2 linked regions of the Tribolium castaneum genome follow. The protein of the gene in region 2 purifies or fractionates together with the protein of the main gene of each other region. This does not show direct contact. Links are inferred from orthologs where the notes say so. Each region holds a gene or a part of one and is shown on either strand. Other genes may lie near its edges.

The links. Proteins that work in one complex are often made in the same cells at the same time.
Region 1: the proteins of shtd (region 2) and APC4 purify together in Homo sapiens (co-purification; 13 studies listed by BioGRID and IntAct, with this or other methods). This does not show direct contact. The link is inferred for Tribolium castaneum from reciprocal best matches to the Homo sapiens genes ANAPC1 and ANAPC4.

Annotation. Positions count from the first base shown.
Region 1 is NC_087400.1:320,088-328,814, reverse strand, and holds APC4 (anaphase-promoting complex subunit 4), read right to left. Parts: upstream 5,546-8,727; 5' UTR 5,440-5,545; coding exon 5,328-5,439; intron 5,283-5,327; coding exon 5,154-5,282; intron 5,093-5,153; coding exon 4,932-5,092; intron 4,886-4,931; coding exon 4,166-4,885; intron 3,711-4,165; coding exon 2,634-3,710; 3' UTR 2,628-2,633; coding exon of another isoform or gene 2,538-2,627; 3' UTR 2,488-2,537; coding exon of another isoform or gene 2,344-2,487; 3' UTR 2,277-2,343; downstream 1-2,276. Other genes in the region: uncharacterized protein LOC659212, read left to right, coding at 1-138, 192-274, 431-450, 500-613, 699-901, 2,344-2,487, 2,538-2,627; CstF64 (cleavage stimulation factor subunit 2 tau variant), read left to right, coding at 5,757-5,808, 5,859-5,937, 5,983-6,406, 6,456-6,639, 6,696-6,825, 6,874-6,903, 6,959-7,047, 7,097-7,347; WD and tetratricopeptide repeats protein 1, read right to left, coding at 7,611-7,787, 7,999-8,195, 8,245-8,603, 8,659-8,727. UniProt on the Homo sapiens protein: Component of the anaphase promoting complex/cyclosome (APC/C), a cell cycle-regulated E3 ubiquitin ligase that controls progression through mitosis and the G1 phase of the cell cycle.
Region 2 is NC_087397.1:4,714,695-4,718,729, reverse strand, and holds the start of shtd (anaphase-promoting complex subunit 1), read left to right. Parts: upstream 1-1,235; 5' UTR 1,236-1,397; coding exon 1,398-1,421; intron 1,422-1,468; coding exon 1,469-1,829; intron 1,830-1,878; coding exon 1,879-2,283; intron 2,284-2,329; coding exon 2,330-2,622; intron 2,623-2,669; coding exon 2,670-2,818; intron 2,819-2,918; coding exon 2,919-3,122; intron 3,123-3,173; coding exon 3,174-3,363; intron 3,364-3,404; coding exon 3,405-3,565; intron 3,566-3,612; coding exon 3,613-4,010; intron 4,011-4,035. Other genes in the region: Caf1-105 (chromatin assembly factor 1 subunit B), read right to left, coding at 1-310, 364-744, 792-914. UniProt on the Homo sapiens protein: Component of the anaphase promoting complex/cyclosome (APC/C), a cell cycle-regulated E3 ubiquitin ligase that controls progression through mitosis and the G1 phase of the cell cycle.

The DNA of each region.
Region 1 (8,727 bases), on a different chromosome or scaffold from region 2:
TGCGAGCAACGTTTCGATTGGGTGAAAACCACCGAAGACAAAATCCCCGAAGGGGCAGTTGAAGGTGGGAGAACCGTCGATGGGGAACCCCTGTATATTGGCAGAGTGGAACATGAGGGCTCGCATACTGTCGGTAAAGTAGGTGTCTATTTTTGTTTACTTGGAGCAAAAATAAATATTTGGGTTTTTAGGTGCACCCCAGTTACAAATGTTGTTTGATTCCGTTTGATGGGAAAGAGTTGAGATTTACGGAGTACGAGATTTTGATACTGCGGCCTTAATTGTGTGTTTGCACCTCGTATTATTTGTTTTATAAGTAAATAAAAACCTTCTAGACTTCAAGAGTTTGTTGTTCTTTTAGCTCTAACAAATCTCGTGATATTTATTAATGATAAGATAATGAGATTTATTAGCGTTCTGCGAACTGGTAACAGTTTAACACAATGGAAGGTGAGTACCGTTTTTCTGATTTTCCTTGTTTTCGGAAAATGGGTTGTAGGAGGCTATGGTTTTAGACCGGAATTTTCCCTTTCCGCACCCTTTAATTACCCTCAATATCCCCCGAATCAAAATTTTTACCCTCAATCTCAAAATACCAGTTTTCATAATCAAGGTAAGGACCAGTTTGGGGGGTTTACCGGACTTTATTACCAAGACGGAGCAATAAATATAACACTTACTATGAAATTCACTTCCAGCGTTTCGTTGGGTTGACAGTTCCATCGCCTATGGGTCAGTGCCACCGACGGCCCTCCAAGGGGGCATGGATGGGGATGGGCATCCCATTTACGTTGGTAGAGCCTACCATGAAGGTGACTTGATCCCTGCCAAAGTGATTCCCGGCAAAAACGCCGCCTATGTCTCTCACAACGGACAGGAACACCTCGTTGAAAATTTCCAAGTAATATACTGGGTGTTTCTATTTGATATTTATCCCCTTGTAACTTTTTTTTAAAGTAAAACAAGCATTTTTATCCGCAAAAGTGACAAATATTGTGACTAAATGTCACAGGCAACAGTTCTATTTTTCGGCCATTATATGCATATGCATATTCTTGAGATTTTTTTTTCGAACATATGGACTTTTTTTGGACTTTTAACAACTCCAGAGGGATGTAAAGGCATAGAAAAGTCCATAAAACTATGCTAGAATGGGTTTGTAAAAAAAATATTTTTTTCACGTTTTTGGAAGAAAGTGTATTATTATTACTCAGAAAATTTTAGCAAAAATTCTCATTCACGGCTAAACTATTCCAGAAAGTGGAACTATTTTGTTCCATACCTATACAAAATGATCCGGGGAATCGATTGGCATCGAGAAAATTGCCAAATTCCCAATAGTTTTTTAGTTATGAATTTTTTAAAATTTTACTAATTTTTGCATTTATCTCCAATTTGCTCGAAAACTATTAGTCGGAGAACAATAATTTTTTTTGAAAAAAATAGATAATATAAAGAGCTTTCCAACGATAATACACTTCGTAGGGTTATCTCTAAAAGTTCCGGAGCTATTGCTTGACAAAAGTTCCGGGTACCGAAAATCGACAAAATTTGCGACGAAAATTGAAAAAATCAAACATCAAAAAATCGAACATATGGACTTTTTGTGGACTTTTAACAACTTTTGTGGGTTGTTAAGACATGTAAAAGTCCATAAAAATTTACTGGAGTGAGTTTAAAAAAAATTTTTTTTCACCACTTTGAAGGTAATTTTAGCAAAAAAATTGAAAATTTTAGATCTCGTGAAAAGTTGGTATAATACAGAAAATGAGCCGCTGAATTCAATGGAACAAACCGCATTGCTCCTCGACTTTTAGTTTTCGAGTTATGAATTTTTTAATAAATAACCCGGCGCATCCACCAATTTTAAAATTAAAATATATATTTTTTTAAATTTCTCGAGTAAGCTAGTGTTGTGAAAAGGCTAGTATTCTAAGCAATTTAAGCAGCAGAATTCACTGCAACAAACGGTTTTGCTCTACGACTTTTAGTTTTCGAGTTATAAATTTTTTGGTTGAATAAAATTTTCCACTATAAGAAACAACTATCTTAATTTTTAGCAAAAAATTTTAAAACTTTAGATCTCGTTAAACGTTGGTATAATTCAGAAAATGAGCCGCTGAGTTCATTGGAACAAACCGTTTTGCTCTACGACATTTAGTTTTTGAGCTATGAATTTTTTTTGTTGAATATGGGAAAATAAAGCCCTTTTATATTTTGTTTTATAATCTCGTTATTTAATTTTTTGTATCTGTACAAAAACTAAAAGAAAACAATTTTTCTTCCACCTTGCAAGGTTAATTAATAAGGAAAACGAATTTATTTATTTTTTAAAATTTTCAGGTTTTATGTAAACAATACTTCGAGTGGGTACAATCGCACGCCGGCCACTTGCCACCAGGGGCGGTCCAAGGGGGGCACACCAGCGAAGGGGAGCCCCTTTACATAGGCCGCGCCTACCACGAAGGCTCCCAAACAATTGGCAAAGTACTTAACTCACCCTTATAAATTTTAACCCTTGATCATTTATTTTCCAGATACACCCCAGCCATGGTGTCTGCTACATAGCATACGGCGGCGAAGAAATCGCTTGTCCCGAATACGAAACTTTAGTCCTTAGAATGTAAATAAAGTCATTCTTGTACCCCACTATTGTTCATCTCCGCATCTTCCTCCTCCTCTTCCTCCCCCTCCATTTCATACAAGCGCACCTTCCTCCGATTTTCCGCCAATACGATACCGACACGTCGACTCCCCGACACTGCAAACTCCGCCCCCACCATCCCCTCCACACACTTAAACAGCTTCGGAACCAAACACGAACCGTTCAAACTAACCACGTTAACCGCACCACTAAAAACACGATCTGTCTCCCCCCCATCCACAAACTTGTCCAAAACGCCACCTATCGGTATCTGACTTAAAACTGTAGCTTTAGAAACGGTGTTTTCTTGCAATAAAACCGACAATACTGCACTCGAATATAGTTTAATATCGATCACGTGATAATTATCCTCGGAATTGTCACGGGGGAAGTACAGACGCGCACACTTTATGAAACAATTGCCATCGTCTAGATACACCTGCAGGCCTAGAACGGTCTCAGGCGGCTGCAAGTAACAAAAAAGAATCGATTCTTTGTTTAAGTTGACTTGGGACGTCCGTAACGAATCGCCGCAAAATTGGAAACAATTGAAGTCATTCAAATGACTGAACTGCCTACTAATTTGCTCTCTAGGTGTCGCGAAAATCGCATCGACGCTTTGCTTCAAATGCTTGTACTGTTGTATCAGCGACATCTCTTTGAAGTGCCTCAAAATGGAACTATTTTTTTCGATGCATTGGTTCTGGGCCAAAAAATCAGTCCATTCGTTCCCGGACATGTCTGGTTGGATCGTCAAATTGCCATCGCTTAAATATTGCCCCAACCGCTCCATAATGAACCCCTTTTGTTTGTTATTCCGACTGATGTGGTCAAAGTTTTGCAAAAATTCGGTGATGTAAGCCAGGTCTTGCTGAGTCATTTTGGGGATTTCGTTCGGTATTGGCTCATCCAGAACGTGCATTATTGCCGTGTAGAGCCAGCGGAAGAAGGCCTTGTAATTGATGATGGAGTGATTGATGATTTGCTGCATTTCGCTGCCTTTGATCAAGAAGGCGCCGTTCGAGGAAATGGCGCCGGTAATGGCGGCCGCGTCCAAACCCAAAACCTACAATCACCCAATCACCATTTTTTACACTAATAACTTCTTTTCAATTGAAACGCGTCCTAAACGTGGGAGCGAAAAGCCGAAAAAGGCGTTTTAAAGCCGTCAGGGGTTTCCCCGAATATTTTGGACTTTTTTCACGTAGTATTTGCTCGATTTTAAACTAAATATTTATTTATTTTGCCAGATAGTATTTTGTTCGTTTAAAAAATCAGACACTATATTCGTTTCAAAGCAAACCTGATTGATATTTGTTTGTTTCACTCAATGTAGCTTGTTGCGTAAAATTTCGTCTAAAATACGCCTGTTTTTTAACTATTTCTCAGACTTTGAAATTATCGAACTAAATGTGATTTTTCCATTTTTGTGCATTTTTGATGGTTTTTCTTGCCAAGTTCACACAAAATTAAATTTTAATTTTTTTGTTGAGTTGGCAGCCACCACACACTTGTACCAACCTTATAGCGGTGTTCCAGTCTTGCCATCCCCCTCATTTCGGCCAAGTGATAGGTAACATTCTGCCCAAACTTCATCACATACTTCAGCATCAACTTCTGAATGTTGGAATAACTCATCTCAATCGTCTGCCCGAACTTCTCCAACCCTTTCTTCGTTAAATCGTGTATGAGAAAGGTCTTCATCTCATCCGAGCAAATTCCAAACGTCAGCAAATCCAAAAAATCAGCCGTGACGCCCCCTTCTGGCACCTTGCTCGCATATTTCGACAACTTGTTGTCCATCTCCAGCAAAATGCTCTCCCAGGACTCGGTGATGGTGGTAATAGTGTTGGAGAGATAGGTCACCAGTGAGGTCAATTTTATGTGTTTGAGGGCCAAAGCGAACAGTTCGTTTGTGTGCGTTTTGAAAATTTCCGAATCGAAACAAATCAATTTAACGTTGTTTTCGTTGTCTCGCACTGTGAAAAACATGCGGTTCAGGTCCTCGTTCAAATGCATGTTCTGGATGGAGCAAAGACAGTTGAGAGTTTGCTTCAAGTCAAGGGAAGCGCACGGGAAACAACCGAAAACTCGCACGTGCACGGTGCCCTCACTTGTCCCAATCAGGAGCAAATTAAAGTCGGTTTGCTCTTGCAAAATGTTGGTTTTCTGACCATCGTCGTTGTTGGGGGAATCGAACTGTTGTAGCACCGGTTCGGGCAAAAAATTACCCGATAAGTCCTACAACTGGGAAATTAAACGAGCACTAACATTCGGGTTTTTTTACAATGTGTTTCATGTACTGATTCTGTTTACTGTCTTCGTCAACTGAAGGCAGTTTCCCTTTAACAGTCCGGTCTTGCAACCAATTGAGACATGAAACTTCGCCCTTGATGTCAATAGTGTGCAACACCGACTTATTCTCGACCTTCACAAGCAGTATTTGGCCTGAAATTGCACAAAACAATGGATTTAAATTATTTCCAATACTTTTTTTACAATATTTTACCAGAACTGTACGCAATTGCTATGATTTTGCCGTCAGGCCTCCAGGCAATACTTGTGACCTTTAACCCATCCTTGGGGGCACTGAGACTCCACGCTTTGGTCCAAGTGAGTCGATGAAGAGCCACCTCTCCTACAAAGACACCCAAAAATGCCGGTTACTGCAAATGGGGGTTACCTTTGATATTGGCAAGAGCGACAAGGTCCATACGGTCGCTCCACACCATTTGAACAATCTCACTGGCCACATTGCGCTCTTCGAGCTGTTTAATCGCCTGAACTGTGCTCATTTTCCAACAATTAGTAACAAAAAACAATTTTCAAATTGTAAGGTTACGTTTAATTCTGTCATGGGTACCAACTGTGCGTCTGGACCCGATTTGCTTTATTTAGCCAAATGTGCACAAACAGGCCTAGTCAGGCGTTACGATTCACTTTAGGGTTGTAACCACAATAGATAAACCAACATTTTTGTTATTGTTGGCTTTAAAATGCATAATTTTGTACTTTTTTAAAAGGTAGAGGGTTGGTAACGCTGACCGTTTGTTGAAATTGGTGTCCCAGGTGTCTTGATTACTTCGTTCCAAGTTGGAATTAAACAATCACCATGGATAATTTAGAAGCAAATATCATGGACAAGTCAATGCGTTCGGTCTTTGGTACAAATTATTTAAATTTTAAGTGATAATTATAACCCCATTGCTTCCAGTGGGCAACATCCCCTACGAAGCCACCGAAGAGAAGCTCAAAGACATTTTCGGCGAAGTAGGCCAGGTCCTGTCATTCAAGTACGTTGCCCTGCCCCCTGAAGCCCCCTAACGCCTGAATTTTAGGTTGGTTTTCGACCGCGAGACAGGCAAGCCCAAAGGCTACGGCTTCTGCGAGTACCGCGACCAGGAGACGGCGCTCAGCGCCATGCGCAACCTCAACGGGTACGAGATCGGGGGGCGCAACCTCCGGGTCGACAACGCCTGTACCGAGAAATCGCGCATGGAGATGCAAAACTTGCTGAACCAGCCCCCGGTCGAGAACCCCTACGGCGAGCCGATTCAGGCCGAGAAGGCCCCCGAGGCCATCAGCAAAGCCGTGGCCTCGTTGCCCCCCGAGCAGATGTTCGAGTTGATGAAGCAGATGAAGCTCTGCATTCAGAACAACCCCACTGAGGCCAGGCAGATGCTGCTGCAGAACCCCCAGTTGGCGTACGCTCTGCTGCAGGCGCAGGTGGTTATGAGGATTATTGACCCGCATACGGCGGCTGTGAGTTGGGGGTTTGGGGGCGTATTTATATTTTATTGGGGGGTTTTAGACAATGTTGCATCCGCAAAATCCCGTTCCTTCGTCTTTGACGCCCAAGGAAAAGACTAATCCAGGCCCCATTCCGATTAACAGTAATTATGTCTCGAATCCCACGCCTGTGCAGCCCCCAAGACAGGACTTTCAGCCGGTGCCAGCCCCCGCGATTCATAATAATTCCAATCCGGTCTTCACAGGTGATTTTTTTTATCACAATTGATTATAAATAATAATAATGTTTGCGTTATTGCAGGTCAAGACGTTGATCTAAGATCACTGGACCCCCGAGGGGCTGATCCTCGCCTCAGCCGCCTGGGCGACCAGGACATGCGCACTTTGCCCGGACAACTCCCCAACCCCCTTCCGCCGCCACTTGTCGAAAAGTAAGTAAAATAATTCAACCTTGAGCCCTTTTACTCAAATTTAAACAGTTTCACTAAGCAGGATCAGAAATTGGAAAGGTAAATAACCATTTACAATTGATTAGAAATACAATTTACTGATACTTTTTCTTAGCTTTAATAGGGACCCACGTGGAGGTCCGGCCAACTTCCCATCTGATCCGAGACAACAACAGCGAGCTGACCCAAGACAGAAAAATATGCGTATGTGTGAAGTACGTAATTGAATTGGTTGTTGAAAGTCTGATTTTAGCCCCTCAGCAAAACGCGATGCCTCCGCAGCCGGTCAGAGCCCCGCAGGGGCCCCCCAGTACCCCCCAAGTTCGCCAAGCTGCCAATGTTGCTTCAAGTATAGGTACAGCTGGGGCCTCAGACCAGGAAAAGGCGGCCCTGATTATGCAAGTCCTGCAATTGTCAGATGAGCAGATTGCAATGCTGCCACCTGAACAGCGTAATAGTATTCTAGTTTTGAAGGAACAAATCGCCAAAAGTGCACACCGTTGATTAATTAAGTCATTTCCCCAAATCAGTTTAATTTTTACAGTTTACATGATAATTAAAAAATCTTTAAAATTATTAACATAAACACTATTTACAGTATTGTGTATATATCATTTAAAAATCAACAACAAAAACGCACCCTCTAGAAAGTACAAAATAAATGAGCGATTCCTTCGGTTGTTTACGATTAAATTGTAAACAAGAGGTGGATTTATTCGTTTGCAACTTTCAGTTACAAATCTGGTTGTAATGGTTTTGTTAAAAAATTAGCTAGTTCGGCACGTTGGTACTTCTTGAATGGACGATCCGTCTAAAGCGCTTCCTTCGATCTGGTAACCCATGCTCGCCAACATTGATTCGAATGGGTCCATTGACATGCGATGCTGATTTGTTTCGACTACAGTGGAGATGCATTTGACGATTCGGTTGTTCACTTTGCCGTCCTAAATAAACGACAACGGAAACTCCAACATTAATAAAATTAATAGAAAAAAGTTACTATATTTCGGAGAAAAATTTCCGATCAAGTGACTAAGTTATCCGTTTTCGAAAAATCATACTAGCCTTTTTTTTGGAACCTTTATCGAATTAAAAAAAAGCCGTAATGTAGAGTGGCCAACTTAATTTCAAAGTGAGACCAGCAATTGTGCTTACCTCAGGCCGAGGCGACCATATTTTAACGGCCGTATCAATCCCGCTGGACGCTATAACACAGGCACTAGGGTGTGGTTGAATGCAATTAACTATCGAGTTATCTCCAAAGAGAGCCCTAACCACATTCATACTCTTCTTATCCCAGATAAAAATGATCCCTTCGTCCGATCCTGCACAAATATAATTATCACAATCACCTGAAAGCCGCCGTGAAAAAACCAACACTCTACAACCACCACAAACAACCTAAAAAATTCGCCTCCTTGATATCAGTCGTGGTATTACAATGCCCTATGTAAATCTTCTCAAAATCGAACGAATCCAAACGTAACTTTTTCTCATCATCTTCCACCTTCTTCACTCCCGTCTCCTCAAACTTGACGCTGTTTTTGAGCGCTTGCAACTCCTCAACGAGGAATTTCACCTGCGAGGAGGTTTCACATTCGGGGTAAAGTTTTGTAAAGTGTTTCAACCAAGCGTTGGCTTCGTCTTCCCACTTCATGGCAATTAGGCATTTGATTAATCCAATGTAAGCCTGTTTATGGTCCGGCCAATGCTGAATCACGTGTAAATAATCACGTGCTGCCGCATACAAATCGCCCATCCTAACAAGAAAAAAAAAATTAACAAGCCTTTTTTTTTGGCTATTTGTCTCAATACCACTTGCGTTGGTACGCCTGTAGCGCCCGCCTCATGTAAAAGCAGGCACAGTCCGTGTTTTTCTCAAAC
Region 2 (4,035 bases):
CCCAGTTATCTACTGCAAAAAGCAAGGTACAGTTGAGAATTTTTTTACAATCCTCGATTTCAATGCGACCTGAAGGAACAGCCAGGAGAGAACCATCAGGTGAAAAATCTAAGCGTCTGAAAAATGACTTGAACGTGTCATCATGAAAATATTTCACTTCTTTGTTGTGAAGATAATGATCTTCCGGCACCGGTAATAGACCCTTGTGCATTCTAGCCTTCACCTGTTTACCGGTATTTTCAAAAATGCGGCAGATGCGGTCGGTACTGATTGTGGCCAAAAACTGACCTCTGGGATCCCACGACACGCCCTTCAAATTTCGAAAAATTACAAACACTATATTTTTATTTAGCAATAATTTACTTGGACAAATCCCTTGTGGTCGGTTAAAATCTGTTCATTTTTGCCTTTCTGAAAATCCCACAAAATGGCAGTGTTGTCTATAGACCCCGATAGAAGTTTTGAGCCATCGGGTGACCAACACAAGTCGTAAATGTCTTCCTTGTGCCCCCGCATTACTTTATGCACTATCCATGTCTCTTTATCGTTCGTTTCTCCTTCCAGTAGAGGGATATTATCGGTTTTAAGTTGCCAAATAATGATATTTGCGTCGTCATCAGCTGTCGCGAGCTGCTGCCCCCCTGGTGACCACCGAACTGAATTCACAGCTCTTTGGTGTCGTGTTAGATCAGACAAAGCCTCGATTTTAACACTACCGTTTTCGTTTATTGTTAATTGCCAAATCTGAAGCACAGCGTCACAAGACTTAATTTTTTTAAACCGAAGCTTACCAAAACATGACAATCGGCACCACCAGTTGCTAACCTATAAAATTTCTCCAAAACGGGTTGAATATGAACACTCAAGACGGGCTCCCGGTTGTGCCATGATATTTCTGGTATCGAACACTTCATTCTACGTTTAGCGGCTTAAATTGTGAAATACGAATAGTAGCAGACACAAACAAGGCGTTTTTTACACAAAACAACAACCCAATAAAAATATTACGACCATTTGGCGCCAATTTACTAGTCTCCTCGTTGGGGATTTTGTTTTTACAAATGTAATTTTTTTGTATAAAAATGAGCAATTCTATTGAATGAATTGAATTAAATTACAAACCTTTTCGTGAACGAATATAAATTAACACAAATTAATAAAAAATTAAGCAAATACTCTATTTAACAATTAAATACTCAAGTAAAGTCTGTAAATTCTAGTAAATTTAGGTTTCTTTCATTTAGATTGCCAGCGCTGTCTGTTAAGTTTGTGAAGGTTAGAGGAGCCGATTCGGTTTAAAAAAAGCGTTTTTTAATGAAAAATAGTCGTGATTTATGTTGGTTACCATTCTGATTCATTATTGAAATTTAGCAAATCTGGATGAGAAAGTAGAAACAATGATTGCTGCCTCAGATCCACAGGTTCGTGGGTGCTCTCACTCAGTCAATATTTTGCGTAAACTTTTCAGGAGTTTGTTCCAAGTGGACGGCAGCAAACATTGAAACACCCAGGCCCCAATGGGGTGCCCCCGCAAAAAAATTTAGGCCAAACTGAGGACCTACTCCTTGATAAATTTGAAAAGGTTTCAATAAAAGAGAAAAAAGACAGTGAATGGTGGATTTTGCGGAAAACCCCCTTGTTTGAGTCTGCGGCAAGTTGGTGCTACGGGACAAAAGACAGTTCTTGTACTAAAGTTAGTGTGAATCAGGACTGTAAAAATGACAAGTCTTACAGCTATCAAAGCTGCGATCATTCACAAAAGACTAGCAAGAGAATATCTGAGAGTTTTTCGAAATTTTCACTCAAGCATGAAAGCTTGGCTCATGGGGGTACGTGGGACCAATTTTTTGCATTTTTATTTTTTTTTTGATTCCCAAGGGCCAAGCTATGAGGGTTCTTTTGCCAAAAGTCACGTCAGTTTTATGGAGGATGAACTCTATGTCAAGGGACACACGGCAGTGTGGTCCCGAGGGCTAAACAATTGTGACAATTTAGACAACGGTAGAAAAACAATTTGTGCTTACACTTCCCTTCTCCCTATAAAACACGCCGCTTGGTGCACTTTCCACTGCGAGCACCCCAGATATGAAACCGACGCTTTTCCTTTTTCTAACAAAGAAGAGGAAACTAAAGGCGTGCCGGTTCCTGCAATTTGCATCATAAATGCCCATAATATTCACGTTTTCACCCAAAAAGGTGAAGATTTCGTCACTGCTATCCCGTTCCAAATTAGCAAAATGTGGAATACGAAGTACGGAATTTTTCTCGAACGGGAAAACGAAGGTTTGCATTTTGCATTTTTTTTCATTTATTAACGCAATCTTTAAAGGCCACAATTCTACAACGTATTTTGAAAACAGAGCTTCGCTCTATTCCTTAGCTTTTCCCTTTGATGAGGTCTGTCCTGTTGCAATAAATGTTGGCACACATATCCAAGTCCTGAATAATAATAGTTTTAAATTGGTTTACACCAGCGAAAATCCAAGCATTTGTATGATTTACGATACTCAAACCAGGCAACACAGTGTTTACGTTATTAGAAAAGTAACAATCAACGAAAAGGTAGAGTTTGCAAACAGGATGAACAGCACTTTCCCTTCAGCCACCAGTTTATCTAACAGGGTAAAAGAGATTAAAAGTCGCACACTTGCGATAATTAATAATTACAGTTGAAAAGTCGTCTTTCAATGTGGGATTGCGGAAAAAACTCGAATTATTTAAGCGTCCCCAGCCCTATCAATAGCCGGCCAGGAAGCGTAGCAAGTTTTTATAACCAAATGCACCACTCGAAATCGCACAGCTCAATGGCCACAATCAGGTTGACCCATTTTTCCAAATTTTATAATACGAACTAATTATAGCAAGTTAATCGGTTTTGTTACTGAATTATACTAAAAGTGTAATTTGGGTCTTTATAGTCGATGCCAGTCACCTGCCACTTCCTCTATCGGAAGTCCGTGGTTGCAGAGAGCTTCGCGTTTGAACACTTCTATTCCAAGTGGGCCCAGTTATTGTGCACCAAACAACTGTTCGTTTTTCGACTGTTCTAAACTGATGTCTTACCTGCACACAAACCCTCTTATTTGTTTGGACCACCTATGGACTGATCCGAATTTGACTCAGTAAAGTTTTTTTTATTTAAAAAATATTCAATGATCAAGTGATTATTGTAGAGATGATAACATGTCGAGTGCCACATCTAAAGTATTTTTGTGCGACGACTTGACACACCAGTGGTACCTTTGCTACATTTTACCAGTGAAGTGCCAGTTGTGTTTAGTCCAAATCGACTTTACAGACCCGAGTAACATTCGCTTTGGAATGGTTAACAGTTTGAGTGTCAAAGACGCAGTGCCTATTCCTGTGAGTATCACACATTGAATTTTTTCCTAATTGTAATTAAGATGTGCCACATGTTGGCCGTCCTGGAACACAACGGCAACGTCAGCCTCTACTCTGGCCTTACCCTAGTGGGGAAGCTGCACATAGGGGGCACCCTCGTCCAGCACACCCCCTCGCCCTACGTCCGTCGCAACCTGGCTCAGTTTAACTCACCTTTCCCGAGGTATTTCCCAATTAAAACCTCCAAACCGCTCAACTTTGCCATTCCAGACGGAGCAGTCTTTTGCCCCATTGCAAACAACTAGACCCCAAGTTTGACGACCATTTGCTATCACCGGTGTTACCCGAGACAACAAACGTGTCTAACATCCTCCAGCTGAACTTCCAGCACGAAAGCAATTTGCCCAAAGCTGTCCTGAACGGTTTACGTGACCCGATCGAAAACCGCATCACTTTACGATACTCTGATGGCACTTACTACAGAATCACTCTGCCCCCCTTGACTGCACACCCACTAATTGAAAATTGTGTAATGGCGTTAAAGCAGTGTCTAAACCGTGACACCATTTCGGTGGTTTTGACCAGATGGTACGCCACTCGGAACGCACCAGGGGCCCAAGACATGAATCTCGAGCAAGAATGGAATGCGTTTGAAACGCTGCTTTTAGGTAATTTGGTTTCGTTCTAAATCGT